7 linked regions of the Cricetulus griseus genome follow. The protein of the gene in region 3 interacts with the protein of the main gene of each other region in a biochemical or structural test. Links are inferred from orthologs where the notes say so. Each region holds a gene or a part of one and is shown on either strand. Other genes may lie near its edges.

Evidence for each region.
Region 1: of the proteins of Uba1 (region 3) and ubiquitin-conjugating enzyme E2 E1, one has a biochemical effect on the other in vitro, tested with the Homo sapiens proteins (9 studies listed by BioGRID, with this or other methods). The link is inferred for Cricetulus griseus from reciprocal best matches to the Homo sapiens genes UBA1 and UBE2E1.
Region 2: of the proteins of Uba1 (region 3) and Ube2e2, one has a biochemical effect on the other in vitro, tested with the Homo sapiens proteins (4 studies listed by BioGRID, with this or other methods). The link is inferred for Cricetulus griseus from reciprocal best matches to the Homo sapiens genes UBA1 and UBE2E2.
Region 4: of the proteins of Uba1 (region 3) and Ube2a, one has a biochemical effect on the other in vitro, tested with the Homo sapiens proteins (6 studies listed by BioGRID, with this or other methods). The link is inferred for Cricetulus griseus from reciprocal best matches to the Homo sapiens genes UBA1 and UBE2A.
Region 5: of the proteins of Uba1 (region 3) and Ube2e3, one has a biochemical effect on the other in vitro, tested with the Homo sapiens proteins (3 studies listed by BioGRID, with this or other methods). The link is inferred for Cricetulus griseus from reciprocal best matches to the Homo sapiens genes UBA1 and UBE2E3.
Region 6: of the proteins of Uba1 (region 3) and Ube2l6, one has a biochemical effect on the other in vitro, tested with the Homo sapiens proteins (2 studies listed by BioGRID). The link is inferred for Cricetulus griseus from reciprocal best matches to the Homo sapiens genes UBA1 and UBE2L6.
Region 7: of the proteins of Uba1 (region 3) and Ube2r2, one has a biochemical effect on the other in vitro, tested with the Homo sapiens proteins (5 studies listed by BioGRID, with this or other methods). The link is inferred for Cricetulus griseus from reciprocal best matches to the Homo sapiens genes UBA1 and UBE2R2.

What each region holds. Positions count from the first base shown.
Region 1 is NW_023276807.1:175,441,574-175,445,663, forward strand, and holds the start of ubiquitin-conjugating enzyme E2 E1, read right to left. Parts: upstream 2,801-4,090; 5' UTR 2,642-2,800; intron 2,488-2,641; exon of another isoform or gene 2,101-2,487; coding exon of another isoform or gene 2,098-2,100; intron 2,064-2,097; 5' UTR 2,031-2,063; coding exon 1,879-2,030; intron 1-1,878. UniProt on the Homo sapiens protein: Accepts ubiquitin from the E1 complex and catalyzes its covalent attachment to other proteins. Catalyzes the covalent attachment of ISG15 to other proteins. Mediates the selective degradation of short-lived and abnormal proteins.
Region 2 is NW_023276807.1:175,704,053-175,707,552, reverse strand, and holds part of Ube2e2 (ubiquitin-conjugating enzyme E2 E2), read left to right. Parts: intron 1-1,582; coding exon 1,583-1,730; intron 1,731-3,500.
Region 3 is NC_048604.1:125,477,351-125,480,850, reverse strand, and holds part of Uba1 (ubiquitin-like modifier-activating enzyme 1), read right to left. Parts: intron 1,658-3,500; coding exon 1,541-1,657; intron 1,413-1,540; coding exon 1,354-1,412; intron 1,256-1,353; coding exon 1,087-1,255; intron 998-1,086; coding exon 863-997; intron 1-862. UniProt on the Homo sapiens protein: Catalyzes the first step in ubiquitin conjugation to mark cellular proteins for degradation through the ubiquitin-proteasome system.
Region 4 is NC_048604.1:29,641,392-29,645,679, forward strand, and holds the start of Ube2a (ubiquitin-conjugating enzyme E2 A), read right to left. Parts: upstream 2,801-4,288; 5' UTR 2,654-2,800; coding exon 2,610-2,653; intron 2,465-2,609; coding exon 2,384-2,464; intron 1,985-2,383; coding exon 1,959-1,984; intron 1-1,958. UniProt on the Homo sapiens protein: E2 ubiquitin-conjugating enzyme that accepts ubiquitin from the ubiquitin-activating enzyme E1 and transfers it to a E3 ubiquitin-protein ligase. In vitro catalyzes 'Lys-11', as well as 'Lys-48'-linked polyubiquitination.
Region 5 is NC_048599.1:96,236,147-96,239,646, reverse strand, and holds part of Ube2e3 (ubiquitin-conjugating enzyme E2 E3), read left to right. Parts: intron 1-2,562; coding exon 2,563-2,695; intron 2,696-3,500. UniProt on the Homo sapiens protein: Accepts ubiquitin from the E1 complex and catalyzes its covalent attachment to other proteins. In vitro catalyzes 'Lys-11'- and 'Lys-48'-, as well as 'Lys-63'-linked polyubiquitination.
Region 6 is NC_048599.1:90,735,785-90,739,824, forward strand, and holds the start of Ube2l6 (ubiquitin/ISG15-conjugating enzyme E2 L6), read right to left. Parts: upstream 2,801-4,040; 5' UTR 2,716-2,800; coding exon 2,689-2,715; intron 1-2,688. UniProt on the Homo sapiens protein: Catalyzes the covalent attachment of ubiquitin or ISG15 to other proteins. Functions in the E6/E6-AP-induced ubiquitination of p53/TP53. Promotes ubiquitination and subsequent proteasomal degradation of FLT3.
Region 7 is NC_048595.1:101,456,931-101,461,067, forward strand, and holds the start of Ube2r2 (ubiquitin-conjugating enzyme E2 R2), read right to left. Parts: upstream 2,801-4,137; 5' UTR 2,316-2,800; coding exon 2,139-2,315; intron 1,996-2,138; exon of another isoform or gene 1,752-1,995; intron 1-1,751. UniProt on the Homo sapiens protein: E2 ubiquitin-conjugating enzyme that accepts ubiquitin from an E1 ubiquitin-activating protein, and catalyzes its covalent attachment to other proteins by an E3 ubiquitin-protein ligase complex.

The sequences.
Region 1 (4,090 bases), on a different chromosome or scaffold from region 3:
ATGCTTGGTACATTATAGCTGGTATCTTCCTGCTCACCAAAAACCCTGGAAAGGGAACATCCATTGTTATTCAGATCACTGAGCCTGGACTACACGAGGCCCTGACTACAGGAGAGCCTGTCTCCAACTCAAGAATGCACTGTAGCCAAGGACTGTGAACTGATCCTCCTGCCTGGCAGAGCCTTGGGATTACAGGTCTGGGGACTGAACCCAGGGCTTCAAGCATGCTAGGCCAGTTCGCTACTATTTGAGGTACCAAATAAAGTTGATTTTGTTTTGGAGACAGTCTCCCTATCTATATTCAGACCTCCTGGACCTCTCTTTGTAGAACAGGCTGACTCTGAACTCACAAGAGATCTATCTGCCTGCTTCTATTTCCAAGGACTGAGCTGATAAAAGGCCTGTACCACCATGCCCAGAACTAAGTTTTTAACTTCCATAGCATAAACAGACAAACTATATCCGCAGAGAAATCCAATTGTTTATACTCTACTTTTTTATACCTGTCCATTTTCCTCCCACTATAGTTACAAACACACTGAGGGCCTTCTAGCACAACACAAAAGCTGCACTGACCTAAGGGGGTGGGTCCAAAGCAGAGTGAGGATGGAGAGATTAAGAACACTGGGAGAGAGAAGCGCCATCTTCAGCAAGGAGGGGAGAACCCAGGCTCAGAGACAGTTCACATGGGCTTAATCAAAGAGGGCAGGTTAAGACTCAGGAGGGCCTGAGATACTATCACACCAACCCTTTGAAAATGAGAACAACCTTACCAAGGCAGCTCGACACCCTCTCAAGACCTGATCATTAACTATGGAGAATGGGCTGAAGTCACTACCATCAGGCCAGTTAGGTCACTAAAACAGTATACCAAGAATTTCAGGTCAGGGAAAATGACAGAACAAACTGTCAATCTGAGTTCCAGGCTCACTACTCAGCAGAGAGAGCCAAAGTCACTTAAATGTCCCATTTCATTTTAAATTCTAGTCCAATTTCCATTCCTTGCTATGGTTAACTATCTCAATGAAAAGAGAAGGATTTTTGAAAGGATGTCAGGGGCTTCCCAGGTCTCTGCTAGACTACAGGGATCAGGGAATGTCATTAAAGGTTGACAGAGACAAAGTATTCACCCGTCTTTTTACATAAGAGACTAACCCTCGGTGTAGTGAGTGGCTCACTCCTGAAGGCCAGCCTGGGCTAGAGCATAAGACACTGTCTAATAAAACAACAAGGCCTCCTTGAAAACTATCAAAATGAAGTTCTTAAACAAACAAACAAAACTATCTCTTCTTAAACAAGCCAACAAAACTATCTCCCAAAATACCTGAAATAATCATTTTACTGTTATTTACTGACTCATCTGCCCCAAACCGGAAAAGGCTCTTCAAATTCCACCAGAAAACATCACCTCAGTTTCTTAAGCACTAATGGGAGTTGATTATTCCTTAAGCAAGTTATGGAGAAAACTCTATTCAGAAAACGTCATCCCTGCAACAGGTGAGGAAGAGAGATGGTCAGAATTCATTGACAGAGTTCCCGGAAGGTACCCTTAATTATAAAGGAGGGTGACAGCCTCTGAGAAGTCACAGATTCGTGATTACCAGGACGAGGACTCTGAAATCACATTCAGAGTCACTCATAAAAGTAATGAGGATTCTCGAAACTTCATCAAGAAATAGACGAGGCCAGCCACAACTGCTGCTTATGGGCAAGGGCATTAACAAAACCAGAAACAGTAAGCAGGAGAGAAAACAGGTGGGACTCCATGCCCCATTTTCCTGCCAGAGAACATATGAGAACGTCGTTGAAGCCACCCTCCCTGACATGCAGCACGAGGCAACTGGGAAGCTAGGACTCCTGGAGAAAGGAGTGGGGTACCTCTTGGCGCTGGTGGAGAGGAGCTTCGAGTTTTTGCTCATGCTGACTTTACTCTCCTTCTTCTTGGGGGTGCTGGCTTCTTTCTCGGTCTGCTGGTTGGAGGATGAAGATGAAGAGGAGCTGGTGCTGGCCCTCGAATCGTCATCCGACATAGCGAACCCCCCACCCCACCCCGCGAACGGCCCCTGCAGGGGTAGGAAACAAAACAGAAACACAGACCATGCAGGCGCTGCAAAGAGGGAACTCCGCTGTCAGGAGGGCGCGGGCCGGGCCGCCCCCGCCGCCCTGCAGAGGATCGGGGCCCACCGCCGCACCGGCCGAAGATCCGCGGGGGCCGCGATCGCGCGGGGGCGGCCCGGGTAGGGCCGGGAGCCGCCGCCGCCGTCCCCGAGGCCTCCCGGCGTCCCCCTCGAGTTTGGCGAGGTCGGGACGAGCCGGGCAGGGAGAGTGGGTGAGGAAGCCGAGCGTGGGCCGCGTGGGCCGCGGGACACGGCGCCTGGCCAGGCCCGGCCACGCGGGGCTGCGCTCGCAGGCCGGCGCGCACAATGCGCCCCGGGCGGGCGGGTCCCCGCGGGGACCGGGCCGCGCTGACAGTTCGCGCGGTCCCCATCGCCCCGGCCCGCCGCCCCATCCCCGCCGCCCGGCCCTCGGCGCCCCCGGCCCGGCCCTGCTGCCCGCGGCCCGGCGGTGCCGCCCGCCCCCGGCCCCGCGGCCCCAGGCCCGCGGCCCGCCCGCTCGCCGCCCGCCCCGGGGCCCCCCGCACCTCTCTTTGTGTCTGGCTGCTCCGTGCCGCCGCGGCGGCTGCTGCTGCGGCTGCGGCTGGGCCTGGCCACTCGTGTCTCGCTCTCGCTGGGAGAGAAGCGGAAGTGCAGCAACAGCAACTATTAACCAGGCAATGGCTTCCCCGGCCGCACACGCTCCGCGCCACTCCTCCTCTCCGCCCCGCCCCGCGCCCCTCCCCCGCCGCACCTGGGGGCCGCGGCCCGGGATCCCCGAGCGACCCCGGCGTGGCCTGGGGACCCGGAGCCCGGCGGAGCCGAGGGAGCCCGGCGGGATGGGGGAGACGACTGCGTTCAGGTGGAGCCTGGGGTGATCGGGGGAAGTTCTTCCCAGGAGGGCTTTAGGAAAGGGCTGGGGGTGAGGGGGCCGGTGTCGGGGGGGAAAGATGGTACTCTCCGGGCGAGGACTTTGACTCCTCCTCAAAAGTGGCCGGTGTAGAGAAAGAAAGAAAAAAATCCCCCAACAGGATTTTCCTTTGGGCTGACACTTGTTTCTCCCTCTGGCAATTTAACTTGCTAGGAGCAGAGGTCACGCCTGTGAGAAAAATCCCAGACTCGGTTTCTGTTCAGGATACCAGGCGTGAGCAATTTACAACATTAGATACAACCCCTTCACTTGTTATAGAAAAGGATGTGGGGGTTTTTATGTACGCGATTGGAGTTCATGACAGGTAACTGGGATCTGTAACCGGGCTTGGGAGTTGTAAGATCACTGGGAATAAACCTTAAACTGCCGGTTTTGACAAGACTTGGAATTCTTAAATTAGGTATAAAGTCTGAGTTTTAGAAATTGAAAGAAAGCTCTAGAAAGCACCCTGCTTTCGCTCCAGTACGATGCTATTCAAACAATAATTTTAGAATAATCACACAGTAATGTCACTAAATTGTTCCTTTCGTGGCACTGTACCAAATTTTATTTTTGAAAACATTCCACCATTAAATTAGGGCTTAGTTTCTTGCCTGTTTGTCGTTTGCCCTGAAGGTAAAAACAAATCCCTATAGTCCAAGTACAAGGTACCACAGACACAAGATCTTGTGTAATGCCCAGACAACCGCACTCAGATTTCCATGGTCCACTTCAAATTATCTCATTCAAATTGTCATTGCCTCCCAAGGCAACCGAGTCTTCAGTTACTGTAACACATGATATAAAGCTTAAGGCATATATAGTAACCAGGCAAGCAGGCATTCTCACTATACGGGTAAACCCCTTCTAGCCTTTAATCTGAAACTCCAGCTGGGTCTGTAAGATTCATAAAGTAATTGTGCACTTTATTCACTCAGTCTCTAAGGAAATCTGTACCTAATAGGAGTTGTCTCCAAACACATGTAAAATCACTGGTGAGACTTCCACAGGTCATCATTTTGAGCCTCCTGTCAAAAAGAGCTGTTCCTCCACTACCCAAAGCATATGCATTTTTGAAGAAATGTGT
Region 2 (3,500 bases), on a different chromosome or scaffold from region 3:
GCCTGGTTGAGTGGCAGAATGACAGAGGCCTCCCTGTCATGTGTGTTTTTTCCTGGTTCTGAGCAATTGTAAATTCAGGGTACCAGGTCCTTAGAACACCAAGATTTATTTATAAATTTAAGAACTTTTAGAAATTTGTGGTCATAATAAGTAACATTTAAATCTTACTGTTGCTTAGTCAAAAATTTACTAATATTTACTTATTAGTAAAATAAGGTTTTTATTTTACTTTATATGTATAAGTGTTGTATGTACATACATATATGTGTACCATATGTGTGCCTGGTGCAAAAGACCAAAAGAGAGCATTGAATCCCCTAGAACCAGAATTGCTAGCAGTTGTATGTCACCATACCAGTCAGTGCTGGGAACCAAACCCAAGGCCCCTGCAAGAACAAAGGTTATCTTAACCAGAGTCACATTCTTCCCTAGAATATTTTTATGTCATAACTTTACAAATTAAAGACAAGTATAATGGTGACCTTACTATCATAGGAAAAGATTGTATTAATAGTACATTCAAATATAAAATTTAATAAGGAATAACTTTGTGAAGTATAACAATACAGTAATAATAAATTATAACAAATACAGTTTTTTAGGTTCTTTTAAACAATCTTTTTTATATTACATACCAATCCCAGTTCCCCCTCCCTCCCCTCCTCCTACCCTCCCCACATTCTTCCTAACCCCCATCTACTCCTCAGAGTGTGTAAGGCCTCCCATGAGGAGTAAACAAAGTCCTTCAAACCATGTTGAAGCAGGACCAAGACCTTCCCCACCCCTGTATCTAGGTTGAGCAAGATAACCCTCTATAGGGAATGGGCTCAAAAAAAAAAAAAAAAAAAAAAAAAAAAAAAAAAACAGTTCATGCACTAGGGATAAATCCTGGTCCCACTGCCAGAGGCCCCATATTGTCCCCCAAGCCCCCCAACTGACACCCACATTCAGATGGCCTGGTTCAGTCTTATGCTGGTTCCCCAGCTGTCAGTCCAGAGTCAGTGAGCTCACACTAGCTCAGGTCAACTGTTTCTGTGGGTTTCCCCATTATGGTCTTGATCTCTTTGCTTATATTGTGGCTCATCCCCAGTGCTCAGTTGTGCATCTCTGCATCTGTTTCCAACATATACAGTTTTAACATGAAATTATATAAAAGAGGCATGTGATACGTTTATATACCCTCATTCGTGTTTTAAAACTGTATTAAAGAACACTTATCTTCATTGTATTATTCCCAAGCGTTCTGGGTTTTGTTGTTGTTGTTGTTTGTTTGTTTGTTTTTTGTTTTTTTGGGGTTTTTTTGGATCTTCTAAATGTAAAAAGTAAAGCAACTAGAATCCACCAAAAGTTTTTGAAACATTTCAGAAGTCGGGCCCATTTCCTGCTCATAAACATCCTGTGGTTACATCAAGTTAAACTCCTCAGCTACACCAGAAGCAGTGTGCAGATTCTACTGAGTGCTCTGTTTTCTGTCACAAATTATCTTTATTTTTAATCTATTGATTATTTTCATATATCTATTAAAAACTTCAGCCTGGACCTCAGCCATTTCCTCTTATGGCAACTTTGCATTTTCTCCCAGGTCACCTTCCGAACGAGAATCTACCACTGTAATATCAACAGCCAAGGGGTGATCTGTCTGGACATCCTCAAGGACAACTGGAGTCCAGCCCTGACCATCTCTAAAGTCCTCCTGTCCATCTGCTCACTCCTTACAGACTGCAACCCTGGTGAGTGGCCCTGGATCTGGTACCAGATTGAGAAGCACAAGGTTGCCTTTGAACCTGTTAATGCTGCTAGTGTTCCCTACCCCAGCTGCTCATTATCATTGATTTTAACTTTCCATGCTCTATAACTGTGTTCTTTTTAGATTGGTTCTTTCCATTCACTTCTTTCTGAACCTATTATTTACCAAAAGAAATTTAAAACAAAATATGATAAAAATTAATGAAAACTCATTTTAAATGAGAAAAAGTGTATTTTAGAATGCATTAAATTCTCCTACCACATAACAATAAAAATTCAAATTGAATAGCTTAATCTTTAATTAGATACCTAGTAGACATGTTAATTTGAGAAATGTGGGCTATTAAAATCTCATAACAGCCAAGGCAGCACCACACAGATGTGACCTCCAGTGCAGTAGCAGCCGTGCGCCCTGATAAGCTGTTAGCAAAAAAACTGAATGGATCTAAATCAGGAAGCAGGGCTTGCCAGGAAACTAAGGTGGCTATCGGCATGTCTTGGCCCTCTGCTGAGCTTTGCACTCAGGTTCTCAACTCTTGTTTCTTCCTCTGCATGTGATCATGTGCCTTTGACAACTTTGCTTTAGCTACAGGGCAAGCCAGCTATGAATTGTGCTCATATATGGATTTACTCTGGAAAATACAGAAATCCTAGAGTAGTTTTTGTTCATGCTCTCCATGAAACTTGCATTTTTCAGTGTTTTATTAATTGTCATGAAATCCCATCTCCTGGGTAAGGCCCTTGTGAAATGTTTTTAGTTCACTCACCAGGTAGATAGTAAAGTCAGATCAGATGGCACCATGAGAGTTGACTGTCACTGCAGGCCCATCCTCTCCTGGCTGCACCCATTTCTGCCTGCCACATGTATGACCTTACTTAGAGGTGATGTTGCAAGGAGGCTTTCTTTGTTGTTACTTTTGTTTTGATGATTTTGGCCTTTTACCACAAATCAGCAGTGAACACCTGCTTTCAGAACAGGTCCCCTGAACTCATCCACCTCTGTCTAAAGAAATGGCTATCAATATGTCGTGCTGTTGGAGAGAGGCTGGAACTTTGGTTAATCAGTTGGGTTTTGTTTGCTTGTTTCTTTGATTGGTGTTGCTGTGTCTCTCAAAAGTTTACATTGTCTATAAAACTAAAACTCACCCCTGACCAAAACAAAAGCTCATATTCTGAACCAGGGATGCTGGCCTGCACCAGGTTTGCTGGTGTACTTCTGTAACCGCAGCACTCACTTGGGAGGATGAAGCAGAAGGACTGAGAGTTCAAGGGCAGCCTGAGCTACGTGGTGAGATCCTGTCTGACCCATCTCATCTCCACTAAAGAAATAATGCATTTTTTTAAATACTGGCATTCAGTAGGAATATCAGGGCAGAAAATAATAGTGGTCCTTAGAAGATGAACCACTTTTGTGATAGGAGTCTAAAAAGGGGATTAAGAGCACTGACAGCTCTTCCAAGGACCCTGGTTTTGTTCCCATCACTCAAGCGTCAGCTCACAACCATCTGTAACTCCTATTCCAGGGGATCCAACACCTCTTTCTGGCCTCCTCAGGCACCTGGCATGTAAACAGCACACAGATGTACAAGCAAGAAAAACACCCAAACACATAAAAAATAATTTTAAAAGAGACTAGAACAGTTTGTGATATATGCTAATCATCACATTCTGGTGCGTCTAAGAAGACCACCTGAGTGACACTCCACTGTACAAATGTTGACATTCCTGGGTTCTTTCAGTAGAGTTCAGTTTGA
Region 3 (3,500 bases):
TTCAGGCAGTTCTGAAGACAGAGTTGTCCAGGTCCTCCTGTTCCTCCCAGGCCTCTCTCATAAAGACTTGAGGATCAGATTCAGTGAGAGGAAAATACAGCAAGGAGAAAGCGAAGGCCTGGAGCATGTTGGGAAAGGTAAAGTGTACTGGGCACAGACTGCAGAACAGCTGACTCACTTTTTGCTAACTGCCTACAAACCTGCCATGCCCTGTGAGACACAGACAGGGCAAAACTGTCTCCAGCCAAAGTTTGAGCTCATTCATACCACACCTATCTGTTAGTGGTTCTCAAGATGCTGCCCACTCCACCATAATTTTTAAAACTGCTCTCCATCTTCTCCAAGAGCATCCATCTCTGCCCACCAGGATGAGCTCCCACAACTGTGTCAGATTGTTGTTGCTGTAGTACCTTGGCCCTTGGGGACCTTAGCCTCATGGGACAGACTTTCAGTTCTCACAGCCTAGACTTTTTAAACTAGTAAATGCCTATGCCACCTTCCCTGTGTCCAAGTTGCTATTCTTCATGCTTAACCTCATAGGAACCCCATGAAGTCAGTACTGCTTCCATTTGTATTCTAAAAATGGGAAGAGTAAAGCCCAAGATCTATGTGACCTGCCTAAAAGTTATACTAGAAGAGCTAGACAAAACAGGACACTTTGCCTCCAGTCTGTTCATAACTACTATGCTGTATACACAACTTTCCCCTAAAAGCCATGCCCAGGTTCCCATCTTGCCTGCATCCTCTCTGCTCTCCAGTATGATGCCTGATACCCAAGGCAGCTCATTAAATAGTGAACAGTACCAAAAAAAATGAGTTCCAACAAAATCAGGCAGGAGGTTGAGCAGTGGCCAAGTAGTACCTGGAAGCCACTAAGGAAGTCTTCAACAAGAGGGCCAGTGTAGGCAGTGACAGGCACATAGCTGTTGAGTTCAGCAAGTCGGGGCTGAGATACCTCAGCCCGATTTTTACCAATGTCCTCCTCTCGAAGGTAAAACTGTAAGAGGGGGATGACAAAGGATAATAAGTGAGAGGGATGTGGCACACAGAGGCTGATGCAGAGCAAAGAATGTTGGGAAGAGGTACCTGAGAGGAGAGATCAGCCCACTGGGTAGTGCCTTGGTCATGTAGGGTAACAGCCTTGACCCCACCAAGGATGATGTTCTTAGCGATTTCCACACCTAAGCCCCGCAAGCCTGAGACAAGGACGCTGGATGTCTGGAGTCTTTTCATTGCTTCATGGCCCAACACATACCTGTCAAGTTAGAAAAGACTCCAGGTCACAGTCCAGCCCACCTGATCCAATTATTTCAGTGCCCCTTCCCACTTCAGGCAGACTTCAGCCCGACTTACAGCTGCCGGGAGTAAAGGCCCTCGTCTATGTCTGCTTCACTGCCGTTCTTCGCCATTCCCTGGGGATGGAGAGCAAGAACAAGTTCAAGACAACATGCATGAGTGGGGTGTGGGCAAATGGAAAGTGATATAAATGACTCTCCATGCCATCATCATGCAAGCCAGTCTCCATGGGGAAGACACTCACGTTGGTTGGTACTGAGGGCACTTGGGACAGCACAGACTGGGCAGGGGAGCAGTTAGAACCCGGCTTTGGATCAGGCCCGGACACGCGACGTTTCTTGGACAGCGGCGAGCTGGACATCTAGAGGAAAAAAGGCAAGCCAGAGGTGAGCCTAGGATACATGTAGACTTTTTTTTTCTGGTATTTTTTGTTTGTTTTAAATGCAAGGTCTCACTATCTATCCCTGATTAGCCTTGAATTATTTTCCTGCTTATTATTGGTAACAGTGAAAGAAGACTTAAGTATTAGTAAATCTACTTTAGAAAAGAAACTGGCACAGAGAGATGAAGTGGCTTGCCCAGGTTCACACTGCTGACAGGCCCAAGATTTGAACCAGGCAATTTGACTTACAAATCCACACAGCTGACTGCTAAGTCATTTTGTCCCTCCCTAGCACAGCATAAGGGAAAGACTCCAATTCTGTGGAATAAAAGGAAGACCATTCTGGGAAGATCAGAGAACAGATGTGGATTAGGAAATACTCAGGTTTTTAAATCTTGACCCCTTATAGGTATCATGTGGAGCTGTTCCCTCACTTTGTACAATGGCTCCATGGTGTTGCGGAGTTGAGAAAAGATACAGATCTCAGGCCCCGGGGGTAGGGGTGGGGGTCAGGGCAGAGTTTAAAGCCCTGCCCATCTCCCAGTTTTAGCAGTAGAAAACAACCCAGGCCAATAAAACAGGCTGCAGGGAGACAGAAAATGCACACTTCTAAAGTCTCTTCTGCATGTGAAGTCCTTTAACAGGTTAGCAGTAATGATAAATGAAGATTTACTAGGAGTCCTCTCTGTGTCAGAGGCCACACTAAGCACTCTATGAGCCATGAGCCTTGTTGCTGTCTGTCCTCAGGGCAACCCTGTGGGAATTGCACTACTACTATTTACCCCAGCTCACATGTAAGGGAAAACTTCATTCAGGGATGTTTAGTGACTTGACCAAAGTTCCTACTCTGAGAGGTGGAATTGGGATCAGACCAGACCTAATGACTCAAGTCCAAGCCACATCTCGGAGTTAGCAAGTTTCACGCTCTCAATTGTCCTGTCCCTGCAAGGCAAGGTTTAAGGTCCGTGTTGAACAAATGAGAAAACCTGAGCTCACATGATCAAGTGACACACTAGATCCCAGAGGGGAGAAAAAAACCCAACAATATAGGCTGCTGTTGGAAGTGAAGTCTAATGGTGGTAGATTAAGATGCTCGTAAATAGAATACAAACCCAGAATCATTTGCTTTGTTTCTACCCTGTCTTCTAATCACACAACTGTTCTCATTCTGAAGCCTTATCTGACCTTCAATACCACCAACATACCTAAGATTCATCTTGGTACTGTCACATTCTAATATGAACACAATGAATGACAAGAGCTTCCTACTACCCACCCCATCACTCACAAGAGTAAAGGGCTTTGTGTGATTCTAACAACGCCTGTGAACTACATAACCCTATGCTTCTACCATAAATAGAAAGTGAAAGCTTGGAGAGCTCCACTCACTTGCCATGGAAGTCACTTGCCCAGTGTCATGCAGCTGGTAGAAGTTTGTGTGATTGTCTTAGGTAAGTAGTGTCAGTATTGGCTTTGAGTCCATCCCAGAGTGCTCAGAGAGGAGAGGTAAAGAAAGGGAGAAGAGGGGAGGTAGTAGGCTGCCTAGGGCCAAAGTCTGCCAGTGAAATTGCTGGGAATGCTTAGATCCAACTTGGGTAGAAAGAGACTTTATAAGTTGGGAGGTAGACAAAGGCAACTCCTATTTTCCATTTACTGGTATCGACTTGGCACAGAGATGTCATTCCCTTTAAGCCCATTTTCTCCAAAACTTCAGAGAATAGGAACTGCCCTCCTGATGAGGCTAAAAAAGCTATCTGTGGTTTCAAAATACAGGGACCTGAGGACATAAATTCTTCCCCAGTCATCCACAGGGGCCTCCATT
Region 4 (4,288 bases), about 96 Mb from region 3:
ATAGTACCAATCTAGTAGAGAAAAGCCTGGCTAGCTCTTATATTAAATTTACCAAAGTAGTATGTCCTAACATCACTCTCTCTTATGTCATTTCTTTCTTTTTATTGCAGCATGAAACAGCAGCAGCAATTACCTAGTCAGTGAGGTAGAGAGAAAGCTAAAAGTAACTTGTTGACTATCCATGGTTTCCTAAGGGTGTCTTAGTGTTTGGGACAAATTATAGAATGGGCTTATCTTGACTTACTTCACAGCATTTTGTTACTAGCAGTAATGGGCCAGGCAATGGTGGCACACTCCTTTAATACCAGCACTCAGGAGGCAGAGGCAGACAGATCTCTGAGTTCAAGGCCAGCCTGATCAAGTTCCAGGACAGTTCCAGGACACAGAGAAACCGTCTTGGAAAAATGATGAAATATTTTGGTTGTCACCTTTAAACTAAAAGGTGTCTTTGTCTATGTGTGTGTGCACATGCATATGTTACTAAAGAAAGTCATTGAGAAAAAATTACAGAAAGGTTATTTTTTAGTAGCCCAAACACTAAAAAATCCCATGAACTCAAATAGTTTTAATCATCCTTTAAATGAATTAAACTTTAAAAGACCCAAAAAACTAAACACACAATGGTCTGCCTATAAAACTGTATCACTAACTGGGTGAACTGAACACACACACACACACACACACAATGGTCTGCCTATAAAACTGTATAACTAGCTGGGCAGTGGTAGCACACACCTCTAATCCCAGCACTTGGGAGGCAGAGGCAGGAGGATCTCTGTGAGTTCATGGCCAGCCTGGTCTACAAAGCTACAAAGAGAAACCCTGTCTTGAAAAACAAAACAACCGCCCCCCCCCAAAAAAAAAAACTATCGCTATCAATTCTGACTGTGATATTGTAGTACAGTCAGTCATTCAAGAGATGACCAAATATGGGAGGGTGCACGGAAGTGGGTAAGTGAAGAGTTCACAAGCACTTGTTATAGTATTTCAACTCCACAGGCATCTGTAACTATGTCAAAATACAAGGGTTTTTTTTCTTTGTTGCTTTATCTTTTGAGACAAGGTTTCTGCTATGTATCCCTGGGCTGGCCTGGAACTAGTAGGCTAGAGCATTCTTGAATTAACCTGCCTCTACCTCCTCCTCTGCCTTACAAGTGCATAGGACACCATGACGGCATTGAAAATATAAAGTTTTTGGAGAGCAGTTAATGTGGGTTTTTAGAAGTTAAACGTAAATTGTTTAAAAGTTATACACCTCTTGATACAAAGTAGGCATTCAAGTATGCTGGACACTGGCCAAAGGGGTACAACTGTAAGGCAAATCTCAGTTCTAAAACCACTTTAAAATTGCTAATCAGAGATCCTAATAAAAGCACACTCTGTAAATGAATTTCAAATCCAGGAACAACATTATACTGTTGTAGTATATATTACATATAACATACTATATGTAATATATATTAGGCATTTAAGAGCATCCTTAAGACAGTGAGGCTGCTGTGCCTTCTATGTCGTGCTGTAGACGCCAGGTAATTGTGTGTCAGAGAATCTTGCATCCAGTCAGCACTCAACAAAGCGCACACTAAGCACTGATGAACAAATTCTTGCCCTTGGGATGGAATGAATACCAGACCAGATGGTCTCTGGTGGACTGGTTTCGTACTGAATTACTTCCATGGGGGCTGAATTTAGCAGGCCCCTTGCTCAAACCTCCAAATCCTTAATGCCAGTGCTGTGGCAGTTCTTTTACAAAGTGACTTTTCCCTAGAATGTTTTCAATGGAGGAAAGCGACAGAAAAAGTGCAGTTCTGGTTAAGCATAAGCCTCCCCAGAACCCACCACACACTAGATTTCACTCAAGCTTTCAATAGGAAAAAGGCAAGGCAGGTTCGTTAAGCAGAGGGGGCGCTTGCTGATGACAGAACAGCTTCCTAGAAGACTGGTATAAAAACTCTTACCATCCTCAAATGGGGTTCCTTCAGGCCTGCAACACAGAAACAAAATCAAAAAAACCCCGTTAGCGCCCGCGGAGAGGGTCCCCTTTTTGCCTGTGCTTCTGAGGAGGTGGCTCTGTCAAGGGCTCCCATCCCTGCCTCCCTTCCATCACCGCTGTCGGGGCCGCGAAAGTCACTCCGCTCCCTGTCTGGGGGCTCGGGGAGGCAAAGCAGGCCGCCCGTGTCGGCCTCCACCGCTCCCCACCCCGCCCCCCAGAACCCCAGAATGGTTCCCCCGGCAGCGGGAAGGGAGCTAATCGAGGCAGAGGCTCCGGGGAGGCGCCTAGGCCCAAGCAACCCCAAATATCCTCCCCGTTCCCCGCTGGGCTCGTCGAGGGGCCGGCCCGGGTTCTTCATCCCCGGGCAGCCGTTGGAACAGAGAGACTCACCCAAAAATGACCGCGTTCCACACCATTATGTTGTTCTCCGACGGAGCCCCGCTCACTCCGGCTGGAGGGTCTTCTTGTAACCTTCAGAAACGCACACCGGGTCCCCTCAGTGCCGCGACCCGCCGCCGGCCCCCCATCACCACACCCCGAGCCGCTCCGTTTCGGGATCCGCCCTGTGCCCCAGCAGGCAACCCCCGAACCGCCAGTCCCCAACGGACGACTTTACCTCTTGAAGTCCCTCATGAGGCGCCGCCGGGCCGGGGTCGACATGTCTCTAGCGGGGTCAGAGGTGGTACATATACCAGGGTCTCTGGTCCCAGAGGAAACGGAGGAAGCTGAAACAGCGGAGGGAGCGCCGAGAGGAACGGCACTGCCTCTGCGAAGCCGAGGGTCGGTCTGGCGCCGGCTAAGCACCACCCCTGAATAGACGGGGGCTGAACCAACCTGAGGAGAAGGGGGGGGTGAAACGGCTTACGCCGGGTAGGCCGTACCAAGACGCGAGGCTGGGGGGGGGGACGAAAGTTGTTATGTCACTCAAACCCAGTTTGAAAGCCCCCCCCCCCCCCCCGCCAAGGCTGTTGTGGAGGTGGCGGCCAAGTTCTCAGAGGAAGGCTAGCCTGGGAGTAAATGGAAGTCTTCAACCCACGGGAACTTAACAAGGGGGCCACTCTGCTTCCACTTGCTGATTTGAAGGCGAACCCTGTGAAGTTTTGCTTTTGTATTTACTTACTTTTCTTTTTCTTTTTTGAGACCGGGTCCCCTGTAGGTCAGGCTGACCTCGAACTCACAGTGTAGTTGATGATGACCTTGAACTCCTGCTTTCATCTCCCAAATGCCAGTCTTTATTTCTTATTTTATGATAAGCTCCCGCCCCCCCCCTTTTTTTTTGGTCTCCTACAGTAGTATACAATGTAACACTGGTTGATTCAAACTCACTGTGAATCCCAGAGGCTGACCCTTGAAGTCACCTCCGCCTGCCAATGTCTGTGATGACAGGAATATGCCTTCACCCTTGGCTTCTTTTGTTTTGAGAAGGAATAATTTATTAAAGTGCCAACTACTGTCTAGGTTGGAGGAAACAAGAGAGAAGGTGAAGGAGAAGAGTGGAGGAAAGAGTTGGCAGAGGAAACCTTGTCCTCAACAGGCATGAATATTAGGGTCATAATCCTGCAGACACAGGACACTGAAGTAATGGTTACAAGCGGGGCAAAGTGAAAATAAAGAACTAAATGGGTCTTGACTATGAAAATGGACTCAGGGTCCCTTTTCTTTGGGATGAGGGTGCACAAATCAATCCCAACATTTAAGCCTGGGGCTGAATGAAATGCTGTTGGGGTGGTGGTTGAAACGAGAGCTTCAGGCAGATAAAATGGACGTTTTACAATTGCTCTGGGAACTCACAATTTGTCTCTGGAACCACATTTCCCCTTGGCAATTCAACAATCCAAGCAGCTAGTTTAGAAGAGTCCAAGGTATGAGATTATCCAGCTGCAGGGCCTTGGAAGGACAGAAGGTCGGAAGGAAAGGTAACGGCAGGGTGCACGTGGAAAGCTGCGAGTTGCAAGGAAGATTCTCAGGTAGGACAGGGACCTGCAAAAGCAATAACAGTTTGAAAGAAGCATTTTTAAAGATCAATCCAAAAACCACTCAGTAGGCAGATAAGGTACACATTTGAGAATGATGGAAATTGTGAGAAAGGCCGGTTTGAGTTAAATCCCGGAGAGTTTTGAATGCCAAGCTAATGGAATCCTTGGAAGGTGGTTGAGTAGGGCAGTGACACCATTAGAGCTGGGCTAATCAGAATTTGCTCCCAAGAGAACAGCTGCAGGGCTCTTGTGCTACTGGGTGGAGAGACACTATACCAGGCAATCCCACCTCCCAGGGGCCATCCGCATTCTTTCCCAT
Region 5 (3,500 bases), on a different chromosome or scaffold from region 3:
TGCTTTGAGTTAATGGACTCAGTCCTGAAGCTACCTTTTCCCATTCCTCTTGGTGGATTTGTCCCAGCCTCTCTCTAGTCCAAATGATGCCTTAATGAAAACAAAAATAGACTCCTTGGGCCAGGTGCTTCTGTCACACTTAATGTCCTGCTATCATAGGGTTAAATGAACCCCTTTTCATGTCGTATGAGAGAGAGGGAAAAAAAAAAGCAAACATAGGATCAAGAGTTTAGTTTCCCAGTGGGAATCTCAGCTCTTCTACCCCATAATGGAATTTAAGATGGATTCTTTCCCCCCTCCATCTTGATTTCCTCAAGGGTTGGTAGATTTATCCAAAGCATCATCTTTTCAGTCTGTAATTCTACAGTCCATTAAAATGCATTGACTTCAGCTTGACTTCTGTTCAGTCATCTATAATTTAAGTGTTCTGGGCAATTTGGTTATTTGGAAGTTGGGTCATGTGTATTTGGGTACTTATACAAGTAATATTTGCAAAGCCTGCCAGGAAAGCAGAAGTAGCCACAGTGAAATTAAAGACATGAATAGAAACATTTGAGACTATAGAATAGCTTTTGTTGAGATTTTTGTCTTCTGAAGTTTTCTAGTTTTTCGGTGTCAGTCTTGCAGAGTTAATAACATGTAGTTAAAATGATCCCCCTTTTAATATGGTTGCAGTACTGTTTCACACTTACTATTTAAATAGGACCTCCAGATCACTTCTAAATTGATGGGTAGTTTAAAAGAACAAAAGCATATGCATATTTACATGTATAAAGCCAAGATAATTTGTGGTGTAAAAACCTAGAGGAACATGGGTGGGAGACATGCCTCTGCCATTAAGAAAATATGATGCCTTTACAGAGGATCTGATTCCCAGCACCATATCAGGTGGCCCTAGACTCCAGAGGATCTGAAACTGTCTCCTAGACTCTGTGGGTACCTTTACTCATGTACACATGTCCTTCCTGTTCACACCACCCGCATATACACATGATTAAAGATATGGGTGAAAAAATAGAGGAAAATGGGAATTTGTAAGGTGTGTTTGAAGGATGTTTATAGGCATCATAGAGTTGCATTACTAACAACAAATTTAGTTTAGATTATATTGAACTGTTAGTTTTTATTCCATAAATGATACTGATGTTGAGCACAATGCATTATGTTAATGTGTTCAGCAGAATTCAAGTCTTGATTTCCTAACATTTCTCCTACAAGGACCCAAGGTTCCTGAAGCTAATTCGAGGACTGGAAGAGTAGAGCATCTTTTCATGCCAGAAAGGAAGAATGGACTCTAAAATGTTGCCAGCATGTTAGAAGCTGTTTTGTAGGCCCTCCCACCGGGCTAATATGGGATGATTCAAGCAGTAGTAAATTGTAAAGCATTGAAAAGATTTAGTAATTTAGGAGACCATATCAGTAACATAACATATAAACACATAGGGCAAGACGGGGCTCAAGACAGCTGTTAAATGTGGAGAAAGAACTGGAGTTGAAAAATCATCATTATGCCAATATCATAGTAAATTTCAGAGGACTCCAAATAAATATTAAATCTAGAGGAGAAATTTGAATGAAGAGTAGGCTATTTGCATGGTTGTAATCTGACCAAAGAATACATATCGGTTGCAGGGAAAGATAGTAACTAAGCAGTAGGAAATTTGGAAGGCGTCTTCTATGGCTGAAGTTTAACATCACCAGTGAGGAAAAGGACACCATATCATGTACTTCAAACTGTCATGACCCCCCCAAATAACATACCACTTATTTACTTCTCTGGTTAGGAGTGTATTGTTTGAGTCTCATTATGAGAGAACCACAGACAAACTCAAATGGTCTTGCATATTTATTTGTCAAATAAAAGAAAAATTAAGTAATGATAGGACCCATGTTAAAGGAAAGTTAAGGCATAGAGCTTAAATTGGTGTGGTGAGGTGCACATGGGGGATTATGCCTGCAATTAATAGCACTGCAAATAGGCAGGCAAGAGTATTGGAAGTTCTAGGCCAGCCTGGGGGTTACATAATAAAATCCCATCACAGAATAGATTAAAAGTATAAGACATAAGATTTTCTTGATCCCAATACCTTGTACCTGGGGGAGAATATTAAGTGTATTAGAGTTAGTTTACAGTTTTATCGTACAGATTCTAGATTACTGTGGATGACATAGTTACTGAAATTGTAACTGTTGATTTGTAAATTATTTTTTGGAAGAGCACACGTTAAGTGTTTACATGGAAAGGATAAATGTGTGTGTGTGTGTGTGTGTGTGTAGGGGTAGCAGGAGAAGGAGGGAGAAAAGGAGGCAAATAGCAAAAGTTATGAGGTGTTGGGTAAAGTTATATAGTAGTTGTGTTTTCATTGTAATTTCTGTTTATTTGGAATATTTCAAAATTTATGCATGTGTACTTGAGCACACTTATCTCATTGCTTTAGATTGCTTATTTAATTTAATTCTAATTTTGTATTCATCTTTAGGTGTTAACCTAAATTTTTATAGACATGTATACAGGTATTTATATAGGATGTATATTGACTTTTTTTTATTTCTTTTAAATAGTGCTGGCCCTAAAGGAGATAACATTTATGAATGGAGGTCAACTATACTTGGTCCACCAGGTTCTGTATATGAAGGTGGTGTTTTTTTTCTGGATATCACATTTTCTTCAGATTATCCATTTAAACCACCAAAGGTAAGAACCTAGATATACATTGATTAATTACCCTTCTCCCAAACCCAGGTATTCTAGAATTTACATGTATATTAATGTAATAATTTGCTTTCATTGTTGTTCATGAATTAATATGGAAACTCAGTTATTTTGAAACCAAAATGTTACAGACTTCTGGCTTTTTAAAAATAATTTTATATTCAAAATAGTTAATAGTAAATAAAACTACACATTGATTAAAACATAAATAGAAACTTATGTAAAACTCCCTCTATGAAATAAACCTTATTGATAGCTTTCAGAAATAGGTTAATAATAAGGATTTTGTCTTTATAGATAAGCAAAAACTAGAAAACTGACAAAAGGAAAAACTAATACTTAACACTCTCATTTTTTGCCTTCTGTGAGTGTAGTGTAAAATAGAGTGACAGGCTCACTTTTCCCTTCTTCTTAATTCATTTAACCTGAGTGTTCAGCTTGATAACAAACAGAAAACATGGTACTTACTTGAAGGGCTTTTTCCTCTGACTTCTCATTATAAAGTACTCAAGTAAAAAACCTGGAGCTTAGCCTTTGTAGCTGAGTTTATTAAAGAGGAATCCAGTGTGCCAGGGAGGTTTTCAGGACCATGGCCTCCAACTAGTAAAGTGCTCTGCACCTTTTTTTTCAATTGCATAAATTTTTTTTTTGATGTAATGCATTCCAGTTATGGTTTCCCCTCCCCCAACTCCTCCCAGATCTGTCCTCCTTCCCCATCAACCCAAATCGACCTTTTCTTTCTCTTTCTCCTTGGGACACAAACAGGCACCTAAAACAGTAAAATAAA
Region 6 (4,040 bases), on a different chromosome or scaffold from region 3:
GTGGGGGGGAAGAGACGTTGAAAAGCATTCACACATTCAAGGCAGTGCAGTCCTCTGGGAGAATGAACAGATACAAACTAGTGGTTCTTGAGAATCCAGGGATACCTTTACCCACTAGAGCACATTTGCCAATATCTAGAAATATTTTCCATTGTCATAAATGGGGTGGGTACTACGACAGTTCAGCAGGTAAGGTTCACAGATGCTGATGAAACATCCTACAAAGAATTATCTGGTCTCAAGGGTCAACAGAGACAAAAGTTGAGAAATGCTTGTGTAAACACAGGGCCCTTCCCTGCTGTAAACTTTCGGTACTCCCTCTCCCAAATTCATAAACTTCCCACACTTCCTTCTATCTCTCAGCTTCTCTTCCACATCTAGTCACACCAGCAGATTGCTTCCTGTGCCCTCTACTTAGAGCCATGACCATTCATTTGCCTATTCTACCTAGCAACAAGGTAGAATTGCTTGGACAAGAATAAAGGCTTAGGTAGAACACAGATCTTGAGCGGACATGTTCTGGGCTGGAGATGCAGCTCAATTGGTAGTGTTTGCTTGGCATTCATGGAGCCCTGGGTTCAAGTCCCAGCACTGCATAAAACTTGATAAAGTGGTGCTCATCTCCGATCCCAGGACTTAAGAGATGGAGGCAGAAGAATCAAGAAACCAGAGGTTGGTCTGGTGAGATAGCTCAGCAGTTAGGTGCACTTGTTTTCCTAACTCTGGATTCAATTCCTAGCACCCACATAGTGGCTAACAACTATCTCTGAAACAATCAGTTACAAGGGATCTTGCCTCTGGTAGCACCAGGCATGCAGATGGTTCACAGATAATACATGCAGGCAGAATACCCACATACATAAAATAAAAATAATAATTAAAAAAATTAAAGGTCATTGTCAGCTACATATCAAGTTTGAGGCCAACCCGGACATAAAACCCTATCTCAAAAACAAAAACAAACAAAAAATCGAAGGGGAATTTTCTCTTTTACCACTGGGAATACTCGGATTTTTTGTGCTTTGGTGAATTCTGTCATGACTTTCCCATAATTGCTGAAATCCAAGCTAGGACACACAGCTCCTCCCAAAGTCTGCTAGTAAGTCACCTGATTTAGAGGAAATGAAAGTGAAGACACAAAGGCGGTTAAAAGCCCTGTGAGTTAGAGCCTCGTCAGTCTAGGCTCCAATTCCAGACCCATCACTCCTGCTGAATATCTGAATAGCACTGGTCACTCATGCTACTCTCTCTGATATCTCGGTGTCCTCCTCTGTAAAATGGGAAGTCATAATTATCTCACAGAGTTGCTATAAAATTAGATTTAAAAAATGGCCTGGCACTCAGGATTCTGGAGCAATACAAGCAAGTTCATCTCTTAGTGTTGAGGTAGCAAGGACCCTCTGCCCCATTGTGCTCCAGCCTCCAAATTTTAGTTCTGGGATGGGCCTGCTCTGGCCTTCTCCACCTTAAAGAATTTTCCTTTATGGAGCTGAGGACAGCAAACATCCCTTCTCACCGCAAGAAACAGTTTTTCCCTAAATTCTGCAGACTAGAGGGGACCTTTGGGGAGATCCAAAGCTTGGGGGTGCCAGCTCCCGCTCACCGGCGTTTCTCCTCTACGGTCTCCAATCGTGGCTCCAGCCCTCTAGACATTCCTAAGGAAACTGCCACCTTTCCATTTTTCCAGGTAGTATTCAAACAGTGAGTGTCCCAGATAGAAATGAACACTCAAAGGTGATAAGATTTTTGTTCCTAGCCGGGTGATGATGGCACACACCTTTAATCCCAGCACTCGAGAGGCAGAGGCAGGCGGATCTCTGAGAGTTCGAGACCAGCCTGGTCTACAGGAGCTAGTTCCAGGACAACCTCCAAACCACAGAGAAACCCTGTGTCGACAAACAAACAAAAGCAAACAAACAAAAAAGATTTTTGTTCCTTTTCTTCTCCCTGCCACCTGGCACTGGACTAGTAGAAAACAGGCATTTAGCATCTGTAGCGGACTGCATAAAAACCTACTCAGGGCATATTGATATTTTTTATTCAGGAACTATTCTGTATACTTTCATTCCAGGGACCGCCCATCCCCACCCCACTGCCCATCCACATCTCTAGCTTCTGAAAGTATCAAATTATGGGTCCACCCAGTAGGTGGCGCAACAGAACTCTGCCGGTGCCTGAGATACGCCCCACTAATAAACTTTCAGCGGAATTGAAACTGAAACCAGTTTGGGGAAGCTAATTCATTCTCATACTCACCCCACATACACACCCCCTAATACAACTCGGAAAGCTGGTGACAACTCTGTCTTGTATGTCCCCCATCCTGGCCCACAAACTCCAGCCCTACACACACACACACACACACACACACTCTCATACACACACGGAGGGAGGTAGAGGCAGAGGGAGGGAGGGAGGGAGGGAGGGAGGGAGAGGGAGAGGGAGAGGGAGAGGGAGAGGGAGAGAGAGAGAGAGAGAGAGAGAGAGAGAGAGAGAGAGAGAGAGAGAGAGAGAGAGAGAGAGAGAGAGAGACTCCGCCCACTCCTTCAGTGGGAGAGTGGGAGAGGGTGAGGATGCCTGGGTTTCAGCCCACCCTAGTACCCCTGATAAACAAAAGCACTCAAAGGTCAGCCGGGGAAAACCGAGGGAGTAGAGCTTGGGGTCGGGGATCACTAGAAAGGCGCTTACCTTCGCCACCCGTTTGCTGGCTGTCATCTTGGGTGGGAGTGTGGGGCAGCAGCAGACTCCCTCAGGTCACCGCTCTCGGAACCACAGCTCCGGAGCCCCACCCACATCTGCTCCACCCACAGGGACTCTAAGACGTGCTCCCCATCCCAACGGTGGATACCTGAAGGGCGCGGTCAAGTGCCCAGATCGGTGGTCTTGAATCCCAGAAACTCAGCTCTTTGTAGATAGGAGACTAAGTCCGCGGAGCACACTGCTCCCCTTGAGGGACATCACGCAGGAGCCTTGATGGAGTACATCCCCAGCCTTCATTAGCTTCCTCCATGCGGAGAACACACTCGCCAGAGATACTACCTTTGCAAACTTAGTTCTACTGCAGGTCTCTCTGACCTCCGGCCTAAGCCTTACCTCCAGAAAGATTCTCAGAGCTCTGGGCCAGGTCACTTTGCCTTTGTGGGCCCAGTGCCTCATCCAAAAAACGAGTGGGGACAGTGTAAACTGTATGCCCCCCAAGTATCGCTCCCTTAGTTGAGTGGGATCCTAGGTGCAGTGCAGCAATTGGGCCGAGATGCTACGATAGATGCTTCTTTTAGGTTGCTTGGCGCTGAGCATCACATGTGGATGCTGTTGGACCCATTCTCTTTTAGTTTTGGATGCTCTGTCGACCTAGAACACCTAGAAAGTGCCTACTGTAAGGCGATTTGGGAAACCGATGGGTAGGAGAAGCCTTAAGATAGAGTTCAGGAGCCTATTGTATTTTACTGCCAGCCGATTACAAACTATGGACCTACGGAGTGTCCTTATGAACAGTCAAAAGAGTCTCCACCCCTCTATGCAGGGGCAGAGATGCCTTTCCCTAGCCCAAGTTGAGACCACCATGTAATTAATAGCAGCCGCCCCCGCCCCCAATATTGAACAGCATCTAGGAGAAATTCTGCTGCTGTGATGAAACTAGGGAGGAGTCCACCTTCCCCACCTAATCCCTTGCAGTCCAGAAATTAGTATATTTTGAACCCCAAGTTTTGACCCAGTATGCCGCATGATTTTTTTTTTCTCTGTCAGGGATCCATATGTCTGCTTTGCTTCGTTTGCCAATTCTGTTTATTCAACCCAATAACTTTAACCAGATACCCCCTAAGTGATGGCAATGAACAGTACACCATCAGCAATTCCCTAAATATAGGTAGGGGATGAGGGAGCAGGGCACTTGAACCCATTTCTAGTTAGTCTTAAACAAGCACTTAATACCGAGTGTCAAGCACCATTTTAGGGAACACACCAGGCTGAGAAAGTGTGGTGTCTGTCGTCAGAGAAACTCTCAGGAAATTGAAACACAGAGAATTCAGCCTCTGAAT
Region 7 (4,137 bases), on a different chromosome or scaffold from region 3:
CTGAGCTACATTCCCAGCCCAAAGCCTTTACTTTAAATTAGTGTATGCTACAGAAGTATCTCCATATTATCAATTCCAAATCAAGAGTGTCACACTGTGTTCCCCATTAGTAAACAGAAGTAGTTACTTTCTTTCCTAGTTTTAGTTGTTTGTTTTTTTTTTTTTAAACACAAATTCCAATAGAGGGAGATTAACTACAATCCATTTACCTTAATTATTGGTTGTTCTAGTAACGATACTTTTTGGAAATTAAACTGTATCCTTGAGCCAGGCATGGTGGTACAGGCCTTTAATCCTAGCACTCAGAAGGTAAAAGCAGGTAGATCTCTATGAATTCAAGGCCAGCCTGGTCTACAGAGAGTTTTCCAGGACAGCCAGGGCTACAAAGAGAAACCCTGTCTCAACCAAAAAAAAAAAAAAAAAAAAAAAAAAAGCAAAACAAACTGTATCCTTTAAAATTAACCAAGAGTTTGCTTTCAAAGTATTTTCTAGGAAAGTTATCAGATGAATTCCACTTTGTGCAATACTTCCAATATCTACAAATAAAATGTTTATATTTGACAGTACATGACATACCACAACATGGACACAATAATACCCTTTCCAATCTGTCACTAATAACTTGAGCCTTTACTTAGTAATTTTAAGCACCTGCATCTAAAAAAAAGTATAGTGTATACTGACCACAAAAGACAAAGCAAACAGTTGGTAAGGATACCACTCTTACATAATATTCTAAAAATGTCCTTTTACTAAGTATTCAGCAACTGTCACATGCATGAATGTTGAGCATACCCTATCAATCCTATTTTCAACAAAGTTGACCCAGTTTAAGGCCTGAAATTGAGGCTTTTGAACGGTAGAAAGTAAGAGTTAAGTAATTGGGTAGTCCTAAAAATACACATCACATCTACATGACTAAGATATTCGTTTAAAACTTGTGCCAAGATAACCCCTCCCTTCAAAACAAACTAAAATTGACTCACTGGCCTATTTTTCTTAATTCTGGAAATAAAAATAAATAAATAAATGGATTCCTAAACACTCATTTCCTCTGTCTCTAACCCCCTACTCCATCTTCACTCGGGGTTTCCACCCTCCAAAAAAACGCTTTAGTCAAATCAAGACAAAAAACAAACAAACAAACAAACACACACACACAAAACCTCAGTGTCTCCAAGTACTGAATTCAGGAATAATGCAGGAAAAACAAAGGAAACAATGTCTATATAGTGGCTGCCTAAGGAGCCACTCCACCGTGAGAAACCCTGTCACCTCGGATGCTTCTCATTTGTGGGACGACCCCATTTGCAGAAGCCAACCTCCTATGCAAAAGCTTTCAATTTTCTCTCCCTAAAAGTGGGAAACTATCAATCTCTCTGACTGACACATTCCACCCTTTGTGGATGTTTGTACATGGTGTGTGTGTGGGGGGGGGGGTGCTAATAAACTTGGTAGGAAAGGACAAAGGGCATTTTAAAAGCAGGGGAGACTATGAAGTAAATGGAGAACGAGGGCAGAAATAGGGCTAAATTAAAGTCCCCTCAAGCAGATGAGCAAAGCAACGCCAGCATACCACCCTCCCTTTTATGCCCCCCTCCACCCTGTCCTCTTCCTTATTAGCATCTACTGGAATCAAAAGTTAGACTACTCCTACCCAAGACAAACAAATCCTTCAAATGTCAGAGCACTAGCAACATCGGGAATGACAGGCTAATGTTCTTCCCCCACACCCCCCCCCAAAAAGAGAAAAGTCCAATCCAATAAGTGCAGGTCACCCTGCCCTCTGGGGCAGTTCCAGCCTGCGCAGAGAATGCTCGGATGGATCGAGAAAGAGAAGATAGACCATCTCTATTTCCACACACCCTCAGCTGGAGAAACAAAACAAAGGCAGCCCTCCTTCCCGGTAGCCACTACCCCAGCCACAGAGGCTTTCCTATTTCCCGGTGCAGTCTGGCCTCCCGCCCCCGCCCCATGACAAAGAAAAGGCACTTGGTGAGCAAGGCCTTCCTGCCTCCACGGATGGGGGAGGGGGCTGCGAGGTGAGGAGCCCCCTCGGCTCCCCCGCGCTCACGCTCCCGGCCCGCGGCGGACAGCGGAGCCCCGGGGAGCCGGATCCGGGAAGGGGTGGGGGGTACCTTGAAGTAGCCGCCTTCGTAGAGGGTGTTAGGGGGTCCGAAGATGGCCACCTCCCAGTTGTAGAGGTCGGACTCATCCACCAGGGTGATCCGGAAGCCCTCCACTGGTTCCTCCTGCAGGGATTTCAGCTCAAGCATCAAGGCTTTTTGCGAGCTGGTCATCTGCTGCTGGGCCATCGCGGCGGCGGCCGTGCGGGGCCGCGGCCCCAGTCCTCGCGCACCCGCCGGGCCGGACCAGGCCCCTCCCCTCCGCTCGCCCTCGGGCCGGGCCGGGCCCCTGTCTTCACACGCCTGGCGGGGCCGGATCAGGCCCCAGACGGCCCGCGGGCCCGCCCGGGGTCCTCCTCACTCTCGACGCGGACCGGCCCGGGCCCTCCTCACACTCGGGCCGGGCGGGGGCGGGCCTGAGGGAGTTGGGGGAATCCGCTCCCGGCCCCGGGCCTCCCCCCCCCGGAGGGGGCCTCTACTTGGGGGGGGGGAGTGGAGGTGGAAGCGAAGGAAGGCGGCGGAGGGCAGGCGATGGTGAAGACAGGGGGGCCGGGCTGGGCCGGGAGCGCCGTGCTCGCTTGCCCTCTCGTTCTCCGCGGGGGCCGGAGGGGCGCACGAGGGAGGGCGCGCCGTGCGCTGGGGTCTCGGGACGGTGGTGGTGGTGGTGCGGTGGTGGCGGGCGCGGCGGCGGCGCGGCGGCGGCGGCTGCAACGGGGGGAGGGGCGGAGGAGAGGAGCGAGAGCGCCTCGCGCCGCGGGAGCGACAGAGCAGAGAAGGAGGGAGGGAGGGAGGGAGAGAGAGACGGAGGGAGGGAGGGAGAGAGGGAGGGAGAGGGAGGGGCGCGCGCCGGGAGGGGGGCGGCTCGCAGCGGCAGCGGCCCGGTGCGCGTGCGCGCGCCCCTCCTTCCCCCGCCCTCCTCGCTCGGCTTTGCTCGCCTCCTGCTCCCGCCTGCCAGCTTCTCCCCCGCCAGGCCCCACGGTGGCGGCGCTTTGTGACGCCCGCGCGTGTCCCCCACCCTTAAAGAGCCAAGCGGCGGTGGGGATCAAGGGCGGGCCGCCGAGGATCGCTTTGGGCCCTAAGTGACGGTTGTGCGGCTGGACGCCGCGGTTCCAGAGGCGTGCCCCGGAAGGAACCTCAGGTCCTAAGGCTCTCGGCGCTCTCGCCCTGTGTGTGTCCCTGGCCTCCGCAGTCTTCCTGCGTGGAGCCTGGTCCCCTGAGGGCTCCTCTCAGGGACACCTGGTCTGTGGTCCTCACACTTAGTAGATGCCAGAATAAGCTGCGTCTCCAGCTGATGAAGCCCCTAGGCAAGTCGCCCACCTTAGGGAAGGCAGTCTCCCAAAGGAGAACTAGAGAAAAGCAGATAAGCTAGCTCCCGCTCCCTTTTACCGAGAGAGGTTGTGTGGAAAGAGTAGAAAGCTAATGCTGAACCTGATTCCAGGTCCTCCGAGAGATTGGCAAGAGTGCTGCTTATAGCTTACAGTACCCGATTGCAAAATATTGAGGTTGGCCTGGTATGAGCTTGGAAAGGAAGAGGGGGGACAAAAGCAGAAGGGTCAGTGTGAGGCCAACCTGGTCAAGGAACTGATAGTTCCTTGCCAGTCAGGGCTACATTGTGAGAACCTATGTCTAAAAGCAAAAGGCTGTGGTTGAACTTTTACCTCCTACAGATCCGTTCTGCTTGATCTACCTGAACATGGCATGACTGAAGAGATAGGAAGACATAGTCTTCAGTCCCTGGGGTTAGGGTACTCAAGGATTGTTTGCTACAGAAACCAGGATACTGTTGGGCGAGGTGACTCACGCCTTTGATAGGCAGAGGCCGGTTGATTGAGTTCAAGGCCAGCCTAGTCTACATAGCAAGTTCCAAGACAGCCAGAGCTACATAGAGAAACCCTGTCTCAAAAAAACAGTAACCAGAATACTGAGACAGGTTCCAAACATACCATTTTGGGTTCAGAAAGCTCCATTCCAACTCCTTGTTTGATCAGTTTCTGTAAACTGATTAGTTACA